Linked DNA regions of Schizosaccharomyces pombe. The gene in region 2 interacts genetically with the main gene of each other region. Each region holds a gene or a part of one and is shown on either strand. Other genes may lie near its edges.

The links.
Region 1: mutations in gcn5 (region 2) and nto1 impair growth when combined (synthetic growth defect), as found in Schizosaccharomyces pombe (4 studies listed by BioGRID, with this or other methods).
Region 3: mutations in gcn5 (region 2) and swd2 together harm fitness more than expected from each alone (negative genetic interaction), as found in Schizosaccharomyces pombe (2 studies listed by BioGRID).

What each region holds. Positions count from the first base shown.
Region 1 is NC_003423.3:3,309,916-3,314,511, forward strand, and holds nto1 (histone acetyltransferase complex subunit Nto1), read right to left. Parts: upstream 2,995-4,596; 5' UTR 2,966-2,994; coding exon 662-2,965; 3' UTR 520-661; downstream 1-519. Other genes in the region: carboxymuconolactone decarboxylase-like protein, Pxp2, read right to left, coding at 70-279; tif301 (translation initiation factor eIF3a), read left to right, coding at 4,423-4,461, 4,507-4,596. UniProt on the Schizosaccharomyces pombe protein: Component of the mst2 complex which is a highly specific H3 lysine 14 (H3K14) acetyltransferase that functions together with gcn5 to regulate global levels of H3K14 acetylation (H3K14ac), critical for DNA damage checkpoint activation.
Region 2 is NC_003424.3:4,971,862-4,976,232, forward strand, and holds gcn5 (SAGA complex histone acetyltransferase catalytic subunit Gcn5), read left to right. Parts: upstream 1-1,762; 5' UTR 1,763-2,254; coding exon 2,255-3,619; 3' UTR 3,620-3,837; downstream 3,838-4,371. Other genes in the region: OUT family ubiquitin-specific cysteine protease Otu2, read left to right, coding at 1-276; SPOM_SPAC1952.04C (uncharacterized protein), read right to left, coding at 565-801, 991-1,061, 1,156-1,169, 1,383-1,474; SPOM_SPAC1952.06C (uncharacterized protein), read right to left, coding at 3,885-4,371.
Region 3 is NC_003423.3:1,781,426-1,785,104, forward strand, and holds swd2 (Set1C complex subunit Swd2.1), read right to left. Parts: upstream 1,795-3,679; 5' UTR 1,732-1,794; coding exon 1,556-1,731; intron 1,496-1,555; coding exon 1,231-1,495; intron 1,183-1,230; coding exon 550-1,182; 3' UTR 520-549; downstream 1-519. Other genes in the region: SPOM_SPBC18H10.05 (WD repeat-containing protein), read left to right, coding at 1-349; wbp4 (WW domain-binding protein 4), read left to right, coding at 1,834-1,887, 1,961-2,581; ubiquitin hydrolase Ubp4, read right to left, coding at 2,794-3,679. UniProt on the Schizosaccharomyces pombe protein: The Set1 complex specifically methylates 'Lys-4' of histone H3.

The DNA.
Region 1 (4,596 bases), on a different chromosome or scaffold from region 2:
TGCTAAAATACTATTATCTTCGCATCACCTGAAGTGAAATCGAAGAAAACATGATCATTATAATCATACTCTAGGAAATCCAACTAATGGAGATGATTTTACTAATGCTTCTCTTAATTTTGGATAAATACTTGGTCCCACATGCTCCATTGCTTCCTTAGCTATCCCACTTATTTTATCCGGTCGGTTGCAAGCTGAATAAGCTACAACAGATACAATATACAAATGTGTAGGCTCTAATAAACCATTAAATCTTTGAAGCATAGTGTTATGGGTCATTTGTTAACTCTTGATTAATAATGTAACAACGACTGATAGTGTGTGTAACGTAATATGTTAGTACAGTCGGTAACTTAGTAGAAATACCAAATAGAAACGCTTTAAAGGAGCAGCAGATTATATATAAACCGAGAATGATTACTAATAGACTACACACTAAGCTAGTCTAGCAATATCTTTGTTGGGTACGAGCGTGAGTGTATTTGATGACTATTTCACTGCGTGAAAATTTAAGAAAAATTGCTTTTGAAAAATATTAATAAATTAACTATTCGGAACTAAAATGTACAATTAACGGTTTTAGATATTATAAAGTTTCGATATCAATAATTGGTCATAGGTACTAAAGCAACGATGAACTAACTTAACAATAATTTCAGTATCATGAATAGTTTTTCTTGGCTTTAGATCTTGTGATGCGTTCATTAAAGGGAAGCGAATTTTTGGTATATGGTTGCTTGGTGCCATTTTTTTTAGTTACACTGTTTGGTAAAGCATGATTGCTTTGTCCTGTAACATCTTCTGAATGGAAGTTATGCATTCCGTTAGCACGTCCAGACATCTTAGGAATTTCAATTGTCGAAAACTGAGCAACCTGATTTTGGAACATAGAAATGGGAAATTTCCCTATTTTTTCATTCAAATCTAAACCCTCAATAAAATCATGTAAGGACTTAAGATTTCCCTGTGAAGGAATATCCAGTTGACTCATTTCAAGCTCGTTTAAACCGGGCCAGTTATCATACTCAAGTCCGTTAATACCGAGAGAGGGTACTTTGAGATTCCCTCTTTCATCAAGACTCAAACTTTCAAAGTATATTTTTGCCTTAATAAATAGTTTTTTCACTTCTCCTTCTGTTTTTTGTGCAAACTGAACCATGGCAGTTAATTGTTCCATATCATCAATACACTGTATTACACCATCAACATCCCAAATAGGCTCAAGTTTCTTTTCTAGAGAGCTAATACTGCCGATCTGATAACTGAATACTTGTCTTTTTAATTCAACCCACCCAATCCATCCATTATCGAGCGGCATATTGAAAAGACCATCGACATCGAGATCTATAATTTTAACAAGGGTATCCTGTAATAACCGTTGAGCAGGAAAATAGTTTAAATTCAAAAATTTTTTTCTTAAGTTTGATAATTGACATTTTAATAATTGCCGTTTAGCAGTAGATTCTACAAGAGTAAGCAATGATTGATATTGATCTTGTAGAGCCTTCGCTACTTCTAAAGACCTAACGCGATCTTTAGAAGCCCTCACCGGGAGATTTTCAAGACTATCCATAAGGAGTTGCGATTTAAGCAATGGCGCATCCTTTCGGGATCGGCGTTTCATGTGATAAAATTTGCAGATGTCAGTTACTATGGAGGGCAGATCTTGCCTTTTAACATTATAAGACAATAAAACTTTGGTAACTTTATCAACAATAAAAGCCGGTAATGGATGCGATTTCCATGGCCCTTCGGGCACAAAATCAGGCGCTTTAGTAGCTTGGAAGTTGAGTGGAACGTCTGTAGCCATGCGTTTGTAATATAATTCAGCTAACGGAAACAAGCGCTTCATCAATCCGTTTAAATAATCGGGTGGAGTATGTTTATCACAATAAGTTTCCATATCAACACTATCATAACTTGCAGAATGTGAGTATATTTTGTAAAAAAAACCTGCACGTCGAGCACAAGTTATATGGTAAGCTGCATAACAATTTTTATCTGAGCATTGCACACAAGTACCCCATCGAAGTTTACAAATGCAACACACCAATTTCCAGCGAGACTTTGGGATTGAAGCAATGTTTCGAACCAAGTCTAATCTACTAGTGTCGTGAAAAGATATTTCAGGGATTGCTATGGCGCAAATTGTGTGGCACCAACGTCCATCCAAGGTTGTGCAAAACGCACCATCTCTGTCAGGACAAAAAGCACAGCATATAACTTCATGAGGGGCTAGTAAACATTTCTTACAAAACCATTGACCCTCTGGAACAAAAGGGATTCCATAACAATTCTGGTGAACAGAAGTGTTACAGTTATCGCAAAAAACTATAGCATTACTGTTTTCGCATTCTGCTTCATTACAAATAACACAACGACCATCTAGTTCATCCTCCACTCTGACGGGTTCAATCTTAGGCATCCAAGCCTCTAGATAAAGCCATTCGCGTTCAATAATGGTAAGAACTATTTCTAAAAATTCTTTAGAAACATTTTCCCACTCTGAATTAGATGAAAGTTGAAACTCATTATAATATGTTAACCACATTGTGTCTAACTCATCCAAGTCGTAGGATACAGGAAAGGACGTTTTTGAGTAAGGATGTATAGCAACGAACTTGAAATATTCGTCTGGACTCCAATCTAATTGTTTCGCAGTTTTATATCCAAATTTTTTCTCTTGTGGATTAATATTTTCCGTTTGAACACCTACTGGCTTTACGTTTTCGATCTTGGCATTGAGCAAAGCTTTAAGCACATAAGAATTCTCGGATTTATAGGTTACTAAAGAATCACGAAGGCCTGCATATTGTGTATGGTCACCTTCTAATATTTCCAAAGGTTCGTCTATTTGTAGGTCTGGATGGAAAGATTTATAGGGAATCTCTTCTCTCGGCTGAAAAGCAAGTTCATCGGGTCTTAGAATATTTCGACCAGTAGAAGTAAGTCGGAAGGTTTGCATGAAAGCCTTTTACAAGATAGATTTACCATACTATCTTTTTTACATTTCTTTCATGGTGTAACTATATTTACGAGAAAAAGGTGCAATTTTGCTTAAACTTCAATAGTGCATTCTGCCGCTGATGATTAAGCAGAATAAGCGGGGGTAACGTGAATGACCGAAATAAAAAGATGATTGTAAACAGTTGAACTCTGAAATGAAAATAGTTTGGACATAGGAAGGGGTAAATTTATTCTTCCCGTTCTTTCTCTTTTTATATTTATTGGTGTTGTTTTCAAAGAAAACCAGAGGAAATTGGAAAGCGTGATTTTGCATTTTACGGAAATGTAAGAGTTACAATTATATACAGTTGATGTGAAAGTACAAAGATTTTCGAGATGCTTGATAAAAAGCCCTTTCAAGAATCTTTGTGAATAGTTTATAAGCTAATATTTTTGTACCCGCCATCAACGAATACTTCACTTAGTTTATTCTTCTAGAAGTCTAACATTTACACCAATCACAATTAAATTGCTTCATCAAAATGGGCCTCTAGAGTTTACCTAGCGTCGAAGAGATTGAGGACTTAGCGTTTTTTAACAAAAAAATCTTTCGGAATACATAGGGTTATGACCTCTTTATTATAATACTTTGACAAACTATATTCGCTAAATCTTTCTTCCTTTATTCAAGCTTTGAGTAAAAGTAATGCGAGTTTCTGCTACTTTTCAAGGATAACACTTTAAATTTTAGATTGGCTCGGAAAATATTTCGCTCAAACCACACTTCTTTCACTGGTAAGGTCTCAACGTTTATATAAGTTTGTTGCCAATTGTAAATAAGAGTTTAGACAATGCTACAAGTATAAAACAATGCATAAGCCCTGATGAGGAACTCAAGCGAGTATCGACTCAACGGCAATAAAGATTATTTTAAGAACTAACTAGTTTTATCACCAAATACATCAAACAAAGAATGGACTTGGTGATTAGCGTAGAAACAGATCTACGGCTAAAATTCCAAAACTATAACGGTACTAATATTTCTTGGATGTACATTGTGTAACGATAGTAATTAGTAGCGGCAACAGAAAAATCTGACTACTATCCCATAAACGTTCAAATAAAAGCAAAAATAGAGCTTTCCTCTGTTCTAAACTGAACTGGTATTTTTTAAACAAACATGATAGATTAACGAGTATGTTAGCACTTCACACTAGGCGATCTATTCAAATTTAGTCATATTATCGTATTCGGTAAACCACTAATTTCTTTGCACAAAAAGTGATGCTTATTCAAGTCAAACCTAAGAAAGATATGAACAACTAACTATATATATATGCATGTGCTAACATTTTTTTTTGCAAAATCAAGAATTAAGTACCTCTTGTTTAGTGGCTTATATAAAACTGCGAGGTAGCTCGCTATTCGTGTAATAAAATTTTACTACGACAAGGGGGAAGTTTTCAACTGCACAACATGGCACCTCCTCAAGGAAAGCCCGAAAATGTGCTAAGGGTATGTATTATGAGTTTTTTACTTACTTTGACTAACATAAATTAGCTTGCCGATGAGCTGATAGCTCTAGATCAGCACAGCTCAGCACTGCAATCTCTTCATGAGACTATAGTTTTGAAAAGATCAAGAAACGCG
Region 2 (4,371 bases):
GAAGGCTTTTTGCTAGACGAAGAATCTGGAGAAGTTTTGCCAGTATCCGATTATTGTAACGAAATTCGAAACAATAGCAAATGGGGAAGTGATATTGAAATACAGGCATTAGCAAACTCTCTTGAGGTTCCTGTTCATGTCTACAACACAGAAGGTCCAGTTTTAAAGTTTAACCCCTCAACGGTCAAGTTCGAAAAACCGTTGTGTATAGCATATTACCAGCATTTGTTTGGGCTTGGCGCTCACTATAATAGTTTATTATATCGGGACAATTAAAAAGATCTAATGAGATGCTTTAGATAGGTTTTTATCCTTTGGTTTATTAGCTTCCTTCCTCGCCGGAAACCATTTAAAAAGGCTGTGCCTTACGAGTTAGATTATATGAATAATATTTATGAATTAAAACTCTTCTGTATTCTATTAATCAAAAAAAAAAATTAGCCATTATTATCTATCATATCCAGTCATATAGTATGCACAATAAATATTACCAAACATGCTTAGAAAGCTTCATCAGGGAAGCATTAGAAACGGTAGAACAATAAATAGAATTAAGGTAGAACATTACTTGTAGCTGTAAGGGGGTGGTGCCTCATCACTTTTTCTTGGAGGCGGTATATGTGGTTGAGGACGAACGTTAGGAATATCGGTTTGTTGCGAACTTGAGCCAGGAAAAAATGCATGCTGTTGAGCACTCGCCTCAGGTCTTTCGGGAGTAGGAAGATCTTCACGCCTGCGCCTTTGATCAATCATGGCCGAATCTACTGGTTCATACCACCCACAATGAGAACAACGAAGTACCTGCTCTGAGTTAGCAAGTGAGTGCTTATTAGTTGGACAGCAAAATAATCCCAACTTTCCCTGGAAAGCATGTAACATTGAAGATTGAAGAATGGCTTAGAAAATAACAAACAAGGTCTGTCAGGTTTCCAAACAATGATAAGTAGAAAGGGTCAACTACATAACATATGCTTTCTTGAATTCCCTTACCTTACTCGTATAAACCGGGAGAACAGGCAAAACGATGAGTGCTAAAGATTTAACCAAACGATATACCCGAACTAAAAACCAAAGTTTTACGTTAACATTAATAAAACAACCCAAAGAAAGAGCAATTGCCTTCATGCAACTACACCACTTATATGTGTCTCATACCAGTTTTATTTTGGCTAAAAAGAAAGTATTAGCAAAAAGTGCTGATGAAAAGAATAGAAGGAAAACAAGAAGACTGCTAGAAACTATTTTTAAATGACAAATTTTAATAAAAAACAAGTGCGTAATTTCTGAAAACAAAATGTTTCTACAATTGTTCCATTTCCACTTCGCCATTTAAACAATGTACTCAATCCACTTGTTTTAACACTAATTCATTGATTTCATACCATACAGGACATGTCAGTAAGACGTGCTTATATTTGCTATTGACTTTCCATATGTCTTGAACATTCAGCGGTATCGGCAAGAAGAGGAACATCTCACGTTAAGAGTCTTAAAATCTTCTTTAAAAAAAAAGAAAAGAAGTTGGATATTATAATGAATAATTCGAGTTAAATCCAAAATATTCGTTTTAGCAGAGTCACTCCATTAGTACGTAGACTAAGCCTCACAGTTAGTGTAATATCACAGAAAATATTTTCGTTAGCTTTATCGCTAAATACATAAAAGAATATCATCACAAAAAGAGGTATTGCTAACGAACTACGGTGCGTCTCTATATTTAGAAGCAACACCAATAACTTCAAAAAATGAAAGCAGAAAATTCGTAGAGAAGAAATTTTCTAATCTTGCATCCCAAGTCAAATCATGTATTTGTGTCTTTAATTAGTAAATATTAGGATAATCGTTGATTTGAAGTATTAAAAAATTGATTGTATTTTGGAGCGCAAATCTGAGATTTTTTTTATAGATTAAAAAATTCTCCTTGATACGGTCATTTTCGGTTGACTTGTGTTCAAACTCTTTCTATAAAAAGAGGTTCTTTTTCTAAGAGAATCCCTGCCGAGTTTCCTTAAGTTTTAGAAAGGTAAAGGGCTGGTCGACGTCTTTTCACATTGTTGGTGCCAAAAACAAAATTTTCGAGACAAATAACTGGGTTCGTGGTGTATATTTTAACAAATTATCGTTTATTTTAATTTTCTGTATTTCGTTATTATATACCGTTTTTTCGTGCTCGTTTCATCTTGTATCGTTCTTGACAATTTCTGTATCTTCACTTTTTGGATTTATTTGTTTGGATGCGTGGCATAGAATAATCATGTCGAATTCGTTAAATGATCAAACACGACCACCCGATTCAAGTGTTGTAGACAGTACATCTTCCAACTTTCCAAATGCGTCAAACGATAGTGTACATGATAAACCGGTAAAACAGGACGAACAATCCAATCCAAATGTTCGCGAAGCAATTGCTAATTCCGATGGACAAGAATCTTTAGCTGTAAAGGAAAACAAGGATACGGAAAGCTCATCCTCTCATTTCGTACCTAACGGAGTTTCAAATTCTAAAAAGAGAAAGCTCGTGGCTACAGATTTAGATGTTGATTTTGATATTAGTAGTGTACGAGTTACTGAAAAGCCATCTGTATTAGAAGAAAAAAGCGGCGTTATTCAATTTCGTGTTGTTTCTAACGACGACACCGCCGACAGTATGATCATGTTGACTGGTTTAAAAAACATATTTATGAAACAACTTCCTAAAATGCCAAAAGAATACATTACGCGGCTAATTTATGATCGAAACCATCTTTCAATGACCATTGTCAAAGATAATTTACATGTAGTGGGCGGTATTACTTATCGTCCATTTGAACAACGAGGATTTGCCGAAATTGTATTTTGTGCGATTGCTTCCAATGAACAGGTTCGTGGTTATGGTTCTCATTTAATGAATCATTTAAAGGATTATGTCCGTGGAACTACTACAATTCAGCACTTCTTGACATATGCAGATAACTATGCAATCGGGTATTTTAAAAAACAAGGATTTACTAAGGAAATTACTCTTGACAAGTCTATATGGGTTGGCTATATTAAGGATTACGAAGGTGGCACACTTATGCAATGCACCATGATTCCAAAAATAAAGTATTTAGAAGCTAATCTGATTTTGGCTATTCAGAAAGCTGCTGTTGTTTCCAAAATTAACAGGATCACTCGGTCGAACGTTGTTTATCCTGGTTTAGACGTATTCAAAGATGGTCCAGCTCATATAGAGCCGTCTCAAGTTCCTGGGTTGATGGAAGTTGGATGGTGCAAGGAAATGGAAGAGCTCTCCAAAAAGCCCAGACCTAAACCTTTTTTTGCCGTTTTGGAAATGCTTTTTACAGAAATGCAAAATCATCCGTCTTCCTGGCCCTTTATGCAACCGGTTAGTAAAGAGGATGTACCCGATTATTACGAAGTTATTGAACACCCCATGGACCTTTCGACTATGGAATTTCGGTTGCGTAACAACCAGTATGAGTCTGTAGAGGAATTTATTCGGGATGCAAAATATATATTTGATAATTGCCGTTCTTACAATGACTCCAACACGACTTACTATAAAAATGCCGATAGATTGGAAAAGTTTTTCCAGAAAAAACTTCGTGAAACTGAGTATTCACACTTAGCCGATTAATCATTTACATTTATTATCATCGAAACGTCTATTCCGAAGTTTTATTGATTATAACATATACATTTCACCTTTTAATTTTTTACACGAATATCTTTTGTGCCTTCCAAATATGCTGGCATATCAAGAACTGCTAGTGTTTAATTTTTAGTTTTTTTGTTTAAAAATATATATAATTCTATAATACCAAACACTCTTTATGTTCCATAATAACAAATGTACAACTCATTAAATTGAAAATATGTTATCAGAACAAGTCATGATTTTATTACACAGATGCTTGCATAGATCCAAGTAAAACAGTAACCATAGGTTTTTCGTCAATTCTGTAGTAAGAGTCGTTGGCCTCCACCTCTTCGGACTCCACCGTCGGTTCTTCAAGGTTTTCATGATAATTTTTTAGAGCATCAGTCAACTCATCAATTGGAATGGATGCTTCGGAAAACAGCATCTTAATTTTTTTCAATGTCACTGTATTTTCAACGCATAACCACGAAAGGATAAGAACTGTAGATTGGAAAGGAAACAGTCCATGATCAATTTGTTGGAGAAACCATTTGGTACTCTTTTCCTCCGAATCAGGACTAAAATCAAGTTTTCTGCTTTGGTCAATACCTTTGAGTTGGATTCTCAAGCGATCGTAAATTTTGAAAAGGCGTTTCATTTTTTCAAAGTCATTTTCAATGAATTTCCGTAAAAAGCGCACCCTTTCTACGGTGTCAGCAGGTAAAGATCGAAATAAAGATGCCAGAATA
Region 3 (3,679 bases), on a different chromosome or scaffold from region 2:
CATCAATGCATCAAGAAAACGCTCTGTCATTCTCCATTTGCCCACGGAAACATTCAAGGTTTGTAGTGAGAGACTGACTTCGACCATCATTGCACCAGCAAGGACTGCTGTCGAAGCTAAAGAGTCGGAACATGATCGCAGTTTAATTGCAGAAGGATACAATCTAGTAAAACCTCATAGTCACAGATCATATGGAACACCTCCTGTACATCCGATTGATATAATAATTGCTACCAACATGGCAGGTATGACTATTGTCTTGTGTGTTGATTATGATTTGGGGAATTCCCATCATGGATTTAGAAACTCAAAATTTGGACACTTTGTGAAGCGTTTATTACGAACCTAATCTCGATTCAAAACTAATATTACTTTACCTTTTTTTATTTTGTTTAAGTCTTCTAAGTCATTCAGGTGTCATTTAAAATAGAGGACTCATTTTTTCCCCCTTTTAAATAATAGTTATGAAGTTTTTTTATGAAATTGTTTTTAATAATAGTATAATATAATATTCATTTTTTCGTGGTTTGTTAAGACACAAAAACAATTTTACGTCCAGAAAATTACTCCAGAATGTGCTGTAACTAATTGAGAGAAGCGTGGATTAAAGCGAACAATAGAAGGTGTTTCTGGTAAAAGGTTTTTAGATGTTGAAGAAGGAATGATAGCTAGCGGGTTCTCTGTTGAATGACTATTGCTGGTCGGAGTAGTTGATGCTAGGCCCATTTCGGTGAATGAATTAACAATGTGATCCGAGTTAACAGTTTGTTTCAGTTCTGGTAGTTGATACATGCAAAGATGCTCATTATCATATGAAGTAAAAAGAAATTTACTATCTGGAGACATGCAAGCTGAAGCATAATAAGTCAAATTTCCATCTTGGGTTTTTGTGCTAACCTTTGAAGGAACTCTTAATAATTCACTTCCACTATAAGCGTCTATAACGTAATGAAAATCATTTCCAGTTGTTAGCAATAGATATTTACCATCAGTACTGAATTCCACATTTGCAATGCGGACATGAGGGGGCAGGAATGTTAAAGGAATGTCTTGAAATGGGCGAGCATCAAATGATTTAATGTTATAAAGAGAAATTTTGTATTTTCTTTCACTAACTGAGGCAAAGATTAGTCCTGTAGCATCAAAAGCTGCAACAACGGGTGAACTAACATTGAGCAAACCCTACGTATTCCTAGTTAGTTTGATTATCAGTAATTGTTATACTCATACCTGGCAATTTGGAGACCGAAGGTCCCAAAGGCGAATAGTATTATCTAAAGAAGCGCTTAAAAAAGTTTCATCTGCTGGTGATACATCGATTGAAGTCACTGTTTGCTTATGGCCAGGAAAATATCGAAGATACCGATTTGTCACAACGTCTAAATAACGAACGGTATTGTCTTCCTTTGTGGAAGCATGTATTAATGAATTTGAATGATGAGTAAACCGACCTAAATGTGCTCCGTACTTTTTGCTTGCAAGTGATTTCACAAATCTAGAAGTTCATGGTCAGTTAGCCAAACAGGTTTCAAAAGTGAATTTAAGAAGTACTTACTTTCCAGAAATGCAGTTATACAGTTGTAAAGTATCATCAGTACACGACGCCAAGCACAACTCTCCACTGTCGTCAAAACTGAGAGAGGTAATTTCACCAACAAAATTCTGATTTTTCAGCCATTTTCTTGGTTGCATAGACGACAACAAGTCAAAAGTAATTGAAACTGTTGTCATTACTAAATAACGGTATGCTAAAAGGTGGGTTTCCTGAGAAAAATATATGGGTAAATAAGTTTTAAGTATGTATTTAGTGCGTATCTCCTATTAATATTCAGAATGGCTGATTACTGGAAAAGTATTCCAAAATATTATTGTAAATATTGCCAAATAGTAAGTTTTTTCTATAACATCCAAAAATTATTTCTAAAGTGGTGAAATTAATAGAATCCTACTAACAGTACAGTTCGTGAAAGATACACCATTTGCGCGACGGAGCCATGAGCAAACTTATAAACATCAGGATGCTATTAAAAAAGTAATGGATGATATTCATCGTTCCAACCTTTTAAGGCAGGAACTTGAGAAGAATTTATCTATACCAAAATCAGCTACTGCTACCACTGCTTCAGCGGTGTCATCTGAACTAGCATCGTATGAGAAACCAAAAAAGGAGCATCCAAAATTACGTCCCTCTAAAAAAAAAGCTACTTTGGATGATTGGGATATTCCTACAAGTTCTACGGAGACTGACACCATCTCTACTACTCATACCAGCTATATTCCTACATTGCTAGCAAAGCAAGAAGAAAATGAAGAAACCAAGGAAACAACTACTAATAAAAATGAGTCTCTACCAGGGACCTCTTTGAAAAGAAACAGAGAGATCATCGAAAAAGAAGAAAGATCTTCATTTCATTTTCGGGTAAAACCAAAAAACTTAGATAAAGTACCTAAGTTAGCTGAAAACGAGGGAAACAAATCGCTAGAAAGCAAGGAATCAAATGAAAACAAAGTGGTGTTTAAAAAGAAAAAGTCTGGAAAGTTAAGAACAAAATCTTCCTTAAAAGAATATGATCAATCTTGAAGAAAAAAACCATCTTTGTTTAAAAAAAATTCTAGGATGAAAAAATTTTGTATCCAATTCCTGCATTCTGTTCAACATAACGAGAGTAGCTTTTGTGTTGGGTAATCAGCATTAAGTAAGTATTCATATCGGTTATGAATGCTAAGTTGAACATTTATTCAATAACTATATTTGAGGTTTATTGAAAACATTTTTCCTTTTTTTATTTTGTTTTATTTAACATTTCTTTTCAAAGTCATTTTGGGACACTTATCTTCAAACTCCTCCAACAGACTTGAGCGTTTATAAAAAAGAATGTAGGAAGAGGAGAAATCTTCTCTCAAGTCAGTAATACCGCCCACTGTTCGAACAATTGAGTCATCAATATGGCACCATTCATTATTAAAAAGTACATCAGATATATAATGTCCATTTTCGAGCTGGCCATAATGACAGATAAATGCAAACAGGTTATAATTGCTAGGAATATAACCAATTCCCGATTGGAAACTCGGTGGTACCAGCATTTTACTTGGAATCTGTAAGCTCAATCCAAGTGGTGTATCAATTTTTTTACGACCCATTACGGATATTTTAAATCTCTGAATTTGTATGATCAAATATTCAGGTAGTTTCGAAATCATAATTACTTTTTTTGCCGACCTTTGAACCTTGCACACGGGACAATGCCATCCATCATGCCCTTGCAAGAGTTCAGGAGCTGAAAATTTTAATAAGCATTCTTGTAGGCTTACTACATGGGAGACATCGTCAATCGGTATCGCAAGCGATGTGAAGGGAGCAAAAGTAGTAGATGTGCGGCCACATGTCATACATTGAGTACGACTGCAAAGTTGACCTACAAAATTGTTGACCACAATACTCTTGTTAGACCGGAGATGCAAGTTCCATTCAATGTGTGAAAAGTGGGACAATGGGAGTTCTTCTCTGGCACTTAATTGATCTTCCGTCAACGGTGCTATCGGAGACCGAGATGCATTGGAGTTCAAATCTTCATGAAGTTTATCAAGAAAGAAATTTAAAAATTCTTGAGCATCGCATTGGCCATCGATGGAGAAATCTCTATTCAATGACTGTACAATTTCTAAAAAATTCCTT